2 linked regions of the Ovis aries genome follow. The protein of the gene in region 2 purifies or fractionates together with the protein of the main gene of each other region. This does not show direct contact. Links are inferred from orthologs where the notes say so. Each region holds a gene or a part of one and is shown on either strand. Other genes may lie near its edges.

Evidence for each region.
Region 1: the proteins of SLC34A2 (region 2) and ENDOD1 purify together in Homo sapiens (co-immunoprecipitation; 3 studies listed by BioGRID and IntAct, counting the BioPlex papers as one, with this or other methods). This does not show direct contact. The link is inferred for Ovis aries from reciprocal best matches to the Homo sapiens genes SLC34A2 and ENDOD1.

Annotation. Positions count from the first base shown.
Region 1 is NC_056068.1:14,968,502-14,973,621, forward strand, and holds part of ENDOD1 (endonuclease domain-containing 1 protein), read right to left. Parts: intron 1,334-5,120; coding exon 131-1,333; 3' UTR 1-130. UniProt on the Homo sapiens protein: May act as a DNase and a RNase. Plays a role in the modulation of innate immune signaling through the cGAS-STING pathway by interacting with RNF26.
Region 2 is NC_056059.1:45,770,765-45,775,417, forward strand, and holds the end of SLC34A2 (sodium-dependent phosphate transport protein 2B), read left to right. Parts: intron 1-842; coding exon 843-1,469; 3' UTR 1,470-3,220; downstream 3,221-4,653. UniProt on the Homo sapiens protein: Involved in actively transporting phosphate into cells via Na(+) cotransport.

The sequences.
Region 1 (5,120 bases), on a different chromosome or scaffold from region 2:
ACACCCCCACCAAAGGCCAAAATATAATTGACAGTGAACAGAAAACCATAGTATAGACAAAATATTCCAGCTTTCTCTATTATAAAAAAAATCAAATTCACTGGGGCCGGGCACTCATTATTTTTTTTTTCTATAACTCCCCAGGATTGTCAAAAGTAATCTTGTAGCCAACCCGCTTGCAGACAGTAAAGATGACCTGAAATAGACCACCCATGGTGCCAAAAGCCGTGTCAAAGAGCAGAGAGAGGATGCCACCAAGGCCCATGGCAATGTCCCTGCAGACAATCGGAACTGCGCCTATGGTGTACACGGGGAACGTGGCCACGTCCACAAGCACCCGGACAGGGACACCCACGACGCGGCAGACCACCTTCAGCAGGCAACAAAGGATCCGGAGCACGGCCCTGGTGATCCTGACCGTGACTTTGAGGACCTTCCAGGGAATGCTGCCCAGTTCCTCCCCGATGGTCAAGAAGTAGGTGATGGTGGCTGACCCCAGGCGATAAAGGCAACTTTCTAGACCGTTAATCACCTGCTTGGTGACATACCAGAGGAAATACACAGTGTACTTCAGGATCCCAAAGGCAAGGTAATAAATTAACTGGCAGAGCTTGATCAACGGGGTAACGACAAAGCCCAGGAGTCTTCCCAGAAGACTACTCCCTTCCCCAGATGTCTCCGGAGGAGGCAGGGCAGACCTGGTTCCCCTCACGCTGGAGAGCATCTCGGAGCCGCCCTCAGAGTCCAGCCTCCGCTCCTCGTCCTGGACTTGGTTAACCACCTCCAGGATTTTTTTCATCTTCTCTGTGTCTTGGTCAGTTTCCCCACAGTTGTTCTGGAACAGCTGAAGGTGGAATGGAAGCAGCTTCTCCAGGTCCCTCAGCATCACATCCTCGATGACCTCCCGGTCACGGGTGTGCTTGACAAAGCCCATGGCCCAGCCTCCAGCAGGGACCGCGCAGCAGGCCGCCAGCCAAACAAACTCCGGGACGCTCACTCTGTCGCTGACCCTGAGGTCCGAGGGCACGGCACCTGTGATGATGTAGAGCTCGTCCCCACTGCCACACTGTGGGGTCAGAGCTCGCTCCATCAGGCTGTTGAGATTCATGTACCACCTTTCCTGGAAGGACGGGGTCATCGGAGCTGCGTTTGTGAGAGTGAAGGTGGCCGAGTGGGGGTCAGTGCTGAGAGAGAACGGGTAGAGCTGCCCGGTCCGGTAATCAGAACCCAGGAAATCTGCATTCAAGGCTTGGTTGCTTCCCAGCTTGCTCACAGACCTGACGGCCTCGGCCTCATCCGTCACCTCCTCCAGGCTGCTATTGGGGTCATCAATCTGAAAGGAGAGAGCGAGGTTGAGATGCGTCCCTGTTCACAGCAGACTGGGGGTCCTCGGACCATTCTGCCCAGACTCTAGTGAAGTCCCTACTATACAGACACTTCCAACGCTTTGGTCTGGAAGTACACACACACTTCGTCCTAATACCCCACAACCCTAGTGTCTGAAAGCATCTTTCAAGTTGGCTATATCCTCTTCCACTCTCTGTGTCTATTCCACTCTTGACCTACAGTAATGACCTATCCCACACTCACACAAATACACCATCAGAACACCAGTTTTCAATCTGCTGCGGTTTTATAAACGTCATGCCCTTTTCCGGGAATGTTTTTCCATGAGATTCAAACTGACTGCAAAAACGAAAGCAAGGGGAAAAGTAAATCTCAGCAGGCCTGTAAAAATCAGAACTTGAATTCAGATAATCAGCCACCAATGTGAGCTGCAATTTAAAGAACGTAGTCTTAAGTGAATTTTGCATATTTGGGGATATACAAAGAGCAATCAACTCTAATCAGAGAATTTAAATCAAATAGAGGGACATGTATAGATTATTGTCAGTTATATTAGATACTTCCCAGGCCAAGATAGAATTTGACCAGCTGCTCTTCGAACTTCATCTCCTCATAATATTTGCAATTATTAACAATGCATTTTCTGTCTAGGCCTATTGAGCTATTTGCTAAATATCAATAACTATATATATCTCCCTCTTAGTTCTGCTCTATTCATTTTAAATTCAGCAGTATAATATATATGTCACTTTGCCAATCTGAAAAGATGAAAGGAAAGAGCTCAGGACTGACCCCAAACTCTGTTTTTAGCTCCCAAATTAGACTATAAATTTCTTGACACCATGGATCCTGTACAAAGGACCCAGTCAAGGACTGACACATACTAGAATCTCAACTTGTTTTTTAGTCACTAAGTCATGTCCAACTCTTTGTGACTCATGGACTGTAGCCTGCCCAGCTCCTCTGTCCATGGGATTTTCCAGGAAAGAATACTGGAATAAGTTTCCATTTCCTTTTCCAGGGAATCTTCCCAACCCAGGAATCGAACTCATGTGTCCTGCATTGGCAGGGAGATTCGTTACCACTTGAGAATCTCAAGGCACTCTTGTTAATCTGAGATCAGTATTAACTGATCACTGCAGTATTTATAATGGCAGGAAGCTGAACCAACCTACATTTTCAAAAACCGGCAACAGTTAAATAAATGGTGTTATATCCATCAAGGAAATATCTCAAAGCCATTAAAAAGCACTTGTAGTGACAGGGAAATATGTGCTATAATTTTGAAAGGAAAAGGCAGATTATAAAATTAAATGATAACAATTTTTTAAGCCTAAAAATGAGCAAGAAAAAAGTTTGAAACACATGAAAATGTCCATTATGGCTGATCGACTCCTAAGGATACAAGCGATACATTTTTTCCCTTGTTTTCTTGTTTCTCTTGGTTCAGCTCTTACCTACATCAACCCACAGATGATTTATATGTTAGTTTCAAAAGGAAAAAAAGAAATGAATTAAAAGAAGTAAATTCTGACTAATTGATTCCCTAGAGTTGGTGCTACTCGCTAAACCCAAGAGGGCCAAGGCCATGTGGATTGCTGTACCTCACGTGGGAGGGCAACCCACTCTACATTTCTCCAGCTCTGCAACAGCAAAAGTAGGCATGCTCATGCACACACGTGTAGCATTAGTGAGGGCAACGAATGAGCAAGTTGGTGTGAAAGCAGGAATAGTCATGAAAGCTAATGGAGTATTCCATAGCCTCACCTTTCAAGGTCGTTCCATCCCTGCCCCCAGACTCAAATTAGAAATGATCCTGGATGGTCCCCACTCCCACCACACCCCTAGAGGACAGCGATAAGACGCTCACCCATTTTGTAAAGCTGCCCTTGCTCTCCTATAGCCAGAAGATACAACTCATGGAAATATCTGCCTCATTCCTGAATCATGAGATCAAGGTACGGCAGAGCCAAGATTGTAGAGTCTTGGGTGGAAGGCCAGGAATTTTAGGGTGCCTGTTTATTCTCCCTGCTTACTAGGGTACTGTGTCTGCATTTAGCTTGGTGTGGCTTCTTTATCCCATCTAGAGGAAACCTGGAGCTGGGTTTTGGGTTTTTTTTGTTCTTTTTTTTTACTGGTAGCCAGTGACAGAGCATAGGGCAACACACTGGTTCATCTTCTTTCCAAGAGCCACCCAGGGATGAAATAATGCCTGCAAGGACAGAAGGCAGGCTGGAACACAAACAGAGAAAAGAGATTCTTAGATAAAGAAGGGGAAGGAACCAAAAAGGGCCAGGCAGGGAAAGAAAAGGGGAGGGATAAAAGAGAGGGAGGAGAAAAGAAGAGAGTGAGATTGGGTGTGTGTGTGTGCATATGTGTGAGAGACAGCCTACAACATCCTGCTCTTAGAAACCAGAACTGTGGGTTGATTTACTCCCAAACTTCAGAGCGTGGTCTCCCGTGGCTAAGGTCAGAGGAGACTAAGGCAGGGGCTTCCACGTCCTCTCAGGCCACTTGAGTTCAATGGGCTCCAGGTATCTGCCATAATGGAGTCTCTCCTGCCCACAGCTCGCAGGTACATGGGAACCGGCCAGGATGAACCGAGGTGACTGCGGAGGTCGGGACCTAATTCCGCAGTGGGCCCTGTGCACCTCCCTGCCCTGAGCCTCTGCAGGCAAAGCAGAGACTAGACGATGTGGTCCAGATGCACAGGCAGGAGAGAGCACGTCTTCCTTTCCCTTTTCCTGGCCTTCTTCAGAACCTCACATCCATGTATTGTTATGAACCCCAAATTGGCCCTATGGTTTGATGACAGGGTAGAATATAGTGTTGGAAGTGAAGATAGAATGTCTGTATCCGGTACCTATATAGCAATACAGCAGGAGGTCAAGGACTAATTTTTCTTAACTACCAGTTAAATGATTTCAATATAATGTTACAGAAGGTCTTTTTTTTCTACCTGATTCTACAGGTGGGGAAACTAAAACACAGAAAGGTGAATTTTTCCAAAGTCATCCAAAAATTAGCAGGACAGAATTTGAACTGAGGTCAGTCATTTTATTCCTAAGGTACACATTCTTTATGACTAAGCCATGCTTTCCGCATATTAACGGACACTGCTGTACCAGTTTTCTATGCCAGAGAGTAGAAAACCAAACAGAAAAAGAAATCACAGTCTCCTTTTCTCTCTATGACACAGAATAAATGAAATTCCTTAAATGTACAGGGAGAGAAGCCGGTCTGAGCGCCCTGGGGTTGCAATCCCCAGAAAGAAGGGAGAGTGGAAAGGGGAAGGTGAATGGGCACACATGCAGACCAGCCCTCAGGCTTCCTTTCTGCCTTTGCCCAGAGCACACAGAAGCTCAGCCACCAGCTTCACAAGCCAAGGAAGGTGGCAGCTCAGGCAGGAGCAACCAGCCAGAGTAGTTTCCAGCTTGCACTTAGTCGCTCAGTCATGTCCGACTCTTGCGACTCTATACACTGTAGCCTGCCAGGCTCCTCTGTCCATGGGATTCTCCAGGCCAGAATACTGGAGTGGGCTGCCATTTCCTTCTGCAGGGGATCTTCCTGACCCAGGGATCGAACCCACGTCTCTTGCATTGCAGTCAGACTCTTTACCGACTGCGCTATGGAGGAAGCATACTACTACCCTTAAAAAGTGGGCAGCTGGCTGGTTTCCCGGAGACGTTGGTTCTATTAGCACCTTACTTGGCTACTTGCTTTCTTTCTCTACACCAGCAGCTATAACAGAGAACAGTAAGCACAGTGAAACG
Region 2 (4,653 bases):
GATTGAACCATTATCATTTCAACATGTAATTAATGTTAATGAGATTTTATATTCCTTTATTAAAAATTAATTTATTAATCCATTTATTAATTTGCTTTTGGCTGCACTGGGTCTTTGTTACTGCACATGGGCTTTATCTAGTTGCAGTGAGTGGGAGCTCACTTTGTTGCCTTGAGTGGGCTTCTCATTGTGGTAGCTTCCCTTGTTGTGGAGTGCGGCCTCAGTAATTGTTGTGCACAAGCTTGCTTAGTTGCTCCATAGCATGTGGAAAGTCATTTACAATTGTTTTGGACTAAATCTTGGAAATCCAGCGAGTATTTTACATTTAGGCCACATCGCAGTGGATAGTGACTAATGCATTGGATAGGGCTGGTCCAAAGCCCCTAACATCATGCACAGTTCCTGGTGGAACATATAAGAAAGTACAAAGTATATGGCCTCTGGAGCCAGGCTATCTGGGTTTGAATCCCATCTCCCATCTGTATGATTTGAGGAAAATAGCTTAACCTCATAGTGCCTCAATTTCTCAAAGTTCACTGTTAGATTTTGCCTAACGGAAACTTCAGGCCCTGAAAACTAAACTGTGATTCAGGTGGTCACTTCCCTTGCCTTCCCCTCTCCCCACCTGGCCGGCTCCCCCCCCTCCCCCCCCCCCCCCCCCCCCCCGCCCACCCCCCACCCCCCGCCCCCCAGCGACACACATTAGGCCCTCAGCTAATGTAATCCCTCCCACTCTGGGCTGAGCTACGAAGGTGAGGAAGACCCATGACTCCACTTCTAGATGACGCCCTCTTCTCTCTGTGAGGCAGACCCATTCACCTCTCCAACCCCTTGCTTTTCAGATCGCCCTGTGCCACTTTTTCTTCAACATCTCAGGCATCATCCTGTGGTACCCAATCCCATTCACTCGCCTGCCTATCCGCCTGGCCAAAGGGCTGGGCAGCGTCTCAGCTAAGTACCGCTGGTTCGCCATCGTCTACTTGATCATCTTCTTCCTCCTGATCCCTCTGGGGGTGTTCGGCCTCTCCCTGCTTGGCTGGCCGGTGCTGGTGGGCGTGGCGTCGCCCATCGTCCTTGTGATCTTACTGGTGGTGGTCCTCAAGATCCTGCAGTCCTGCTGCCCTGGCTCCTTGCCCCAGAAGCTCCGAAGCTGGGACTTCCTGCCCTTGTGGATGCGCTCCCTGGAGCCCTGGGACAAGCTCATCACCTCCCTCACCAGCTGCTTCCAGAGGCGCTGCTGCTGCTGCTGCCGCGTCTGCTGCCGCGTCTGCTGCGGGCTGTGCGGCTGCTCCAGGTGCTGCCGTAGCAGCAAGTGCTGCGAAGACCTGGAGGAGGTGAAGGACGAGCCGGTCAAGCCCCCTGAGGCATTCGACAACTTGGCCATGGACAAAGAGGCCCAGGGTGGGGCCACTAAGTGTGAAGTGGAGGCCTCAGGCACCAAAATCGTTTCCAGCATCACAGCCTTGTAGGTAGGGGCTGCCTGGAGACGGGGGGGAGGGCCCCATAGTCCACACGCTCTGGCTCCCTCTTGGTTCTTCCTCCATTTCAGGGGAATTCCTTCCCCATTGAGAAATGACATCCATCCCAGCTCTCATTCCCTTGGCCCAGTGTATCAAGCCCACACAGTAGTTCCATCCCAGCCCCACGCTCCCTGGGCCTTCGAGGCTCGGGAAGGCACAAAACGACACTGAAAGAGAATTAGTGAAACCTGGCCGGAGAGATGATCGCAATTTCCCCAGCACACAGCTGGGTTGGTCAATAGGGCTTTTTACCCCCTGACCATCCTCTTCCAAAGGAAAAGCCCCAAGGGAGGAATTTAAGGAAGGTTCTCAGAGGTGCGTATTCATGTACACTTTTCTTTATTATGATCCAGCTCAGGCATCTCTCTTTTATCAAAGACCTGCTTCAGTCAAGAGCAGCTGCTCCCATACAGTCCAAGGGCAGCCCAATTCACGGGAAATGGTGTAACTGTCTGGGACTTGGAGAAGACCATCGGTGTGGCCTTTTCCCCTTCTTAGTGCTCCTCACATCCCCTGGCAGGGTTTTCGTAAAAGATCAGTGCTGTCCCTGAGCTGGCAGGTGGAGGATGAGTGCTGGGAATTGGGGAACATTTGAGGGAGATGGTTCATCTCTGCCACAAGAGCCTTGGGTGCTTCTTAACCCAGCTAACCCAGCATATGTTCTGGCTAAAGCCTAGTGCTGATAAAAATCACCCCTGCTGAGTCTTCTGGAGTAAGATATGCCGGCCGGTTCTGAGTCCCCTCCATTCTGCCCCCTGAAACATAAAGCACCTGAGCGTAGGACAGCTCTACAGCTCTCTGTGCCCCTTGGCTCCTTGTACAAAATGACTATCTGGGTCAGATTCCGCCCATATTTGCACCCACCCCTCCTTCCCTCAAAGCCAGAACCTCTTTCCAGACATTGTCTCATAGTCCCATCCATAAATGAACTTTGCTCATCTGCCCTCTCTCCACGTCTGCAAAGCTTCAAATTTTTCACTGAGGGTAGAAACCAGGGCATGGCTGGACTGCCCACAGAACCATGATCTTCAAGTGGCAGTGGGGTGCGTGCATGTCTGTGGATCCAAGAAGTGCTCCTTCTTGGCCCAGAAGCCTTCTCTGTGCCTTTGAGAGCCCCCGTTGTATTATTATTTGCACCTCTTGCCTTTGCTTCTTACCCTCAACAAACCTAGTTCTCCCTGGAGAGTGAGTGAGCTTCAATCAAGCCTGGGAAAGGGGATCAATGCAGCCGTGCTCCCAGACCCTGTTCTTCCCCATTCTAGCTTCTCAATCACTTTAGCAGGTTGGGATACCAAACTGAGCCTTCCCCTGACCTTCCCTGTGTAGATACAGATTCCCAAACAGAGCCATTTATACTCTATATTTATACTCCTGCAACTGTACAGCATTTTTTGTAAGTTATATAGTAAGTAGTACTGTGATTTGTGTTATGTAGCGCTCTCATTTGGAAACCAGGCCAGGTTCTACTAAGAAAGACCACCTTTGTATATTTTGTAATGCAGCCTTTTAAACGTGCTTCTGCAGCCACACCCACACCACACACCTCTCCAAATATGTAAATACGTAAGTTAAATCTGGGCAGGGCTGTGGTCCTCTTTGTACTCTGATTTTAAAAAATTGGATCCTTGTACCTGCGTTGTTTCTTTTTTTAAAAAACTGGTTGTGGGAAGTGAGAGAAATAAAAAAGATAAAACCCCAAAGGAGTGAGTTGTTTTCAATCTTAGGGGAATAAGGACCTCCTAGATCTATTTCCAAAACATTTGAGGTCGTTCCCTCATTTAATGTCACTACTCAGCAACAGCACCAGCTACGTAATTTGTGGAGTCCCTCATTCGAAATGCAGGAAAAAATGCCAAGTTTTCCTCTCGACCATGGTCCCTCTTTTTGACTTTAAAAAAAAATTACTATTCAATGCTAAGTTGACATTTTAAAATTATTAGTGTGAATTTTATGGTTCCTCTTAATATTGTGATGCCGGCTTTAAACGCAAGCAGGACTTCCTGGTGGCTCAGATGGTAAAGAATCCGTCTGCAGTGCAGGAGACCCAGGTTCGATTCTTGGGTTGAGAAGATCCCCTGGAGAAGGGAATGGCAACCCACTCCAGCATTCTTACCTGGAAAATTCCATGGACACACCATGGAGTCGCAAAGAGTCGGACACGACTGAGCAACCTCGCTTCACTTCACTTCAGATAAAGCAAGAACTTTTAAACTCAAATGCAGTATTCCTAGAAGCACACAATTCGTGTCTGTTAGCTCGGACACGTATTTTGTGTCCACCAGAATAGCAGGGACACTGCACAGAATTCACTCAACTGTTTTCATTTCTCTTCTTGTTTGTGCACATTCTGCTGACGTTCCCTACCTTACTGATGAGTAAGGAGGCAATGAAAGGGAGAAGTCGAGGTTACCCTTTCCTTCTGTGTCAGCATTTTCAGCCTTGAGTGGATGGCTAACACAGGAAAGTAACAATGGTGAGGAAAGAGCTGATATGGCTTCTCAGTTATTTCTTGTGTTGTACTTGGACAAAGCTCTGGTTTGAATGGGAGGCATGGCCTCTTGGGGGCCCTTGCTTGATCAGTTATAGATGTAGCACCTACACTTTGAGCCTTGCAGTACTCCCACTTGTGAGCTGCTGGAGTTTTGTACTCATGCATGTGTGCTAAAGCTGATTTAGTCGTGACCGATTCTTTGTGGGACCCTATGGACTGAGGCCACCAGGCTTCTCTGTCCGTGGGATTCTCCATCGCATTGCATGCAGGTGGATTCTTTACTATCTGACCCACCAGGGCATTGCACATGCTCTCTCGGGGTGGGAGAGAACTGCAGGCATGCACACTGCCCATCTGCTTCTGCTCCATTGCCCCATGGCACTTAACTTACAAAGTTAAGTTAAAAGAAAAAATTGTTAAGAATTTCAGGACCCTAACAACAGAGCATTTCAGCTAAAGAATGAGGCCCAAAAATGGGGGTTGCGATCATTTGAAGAGTTGGGTTCCATCCCTGACTCTGTCATTTACTAACAAGCCTAGTAACCTTTCTTGATGTCAATTTTCTTATCTGGAATATGGGACAGAAACACTTGGCTTCCTATGGTTATTAAAACAAAGTAATGTATGTAAGTTTCCCAGGTG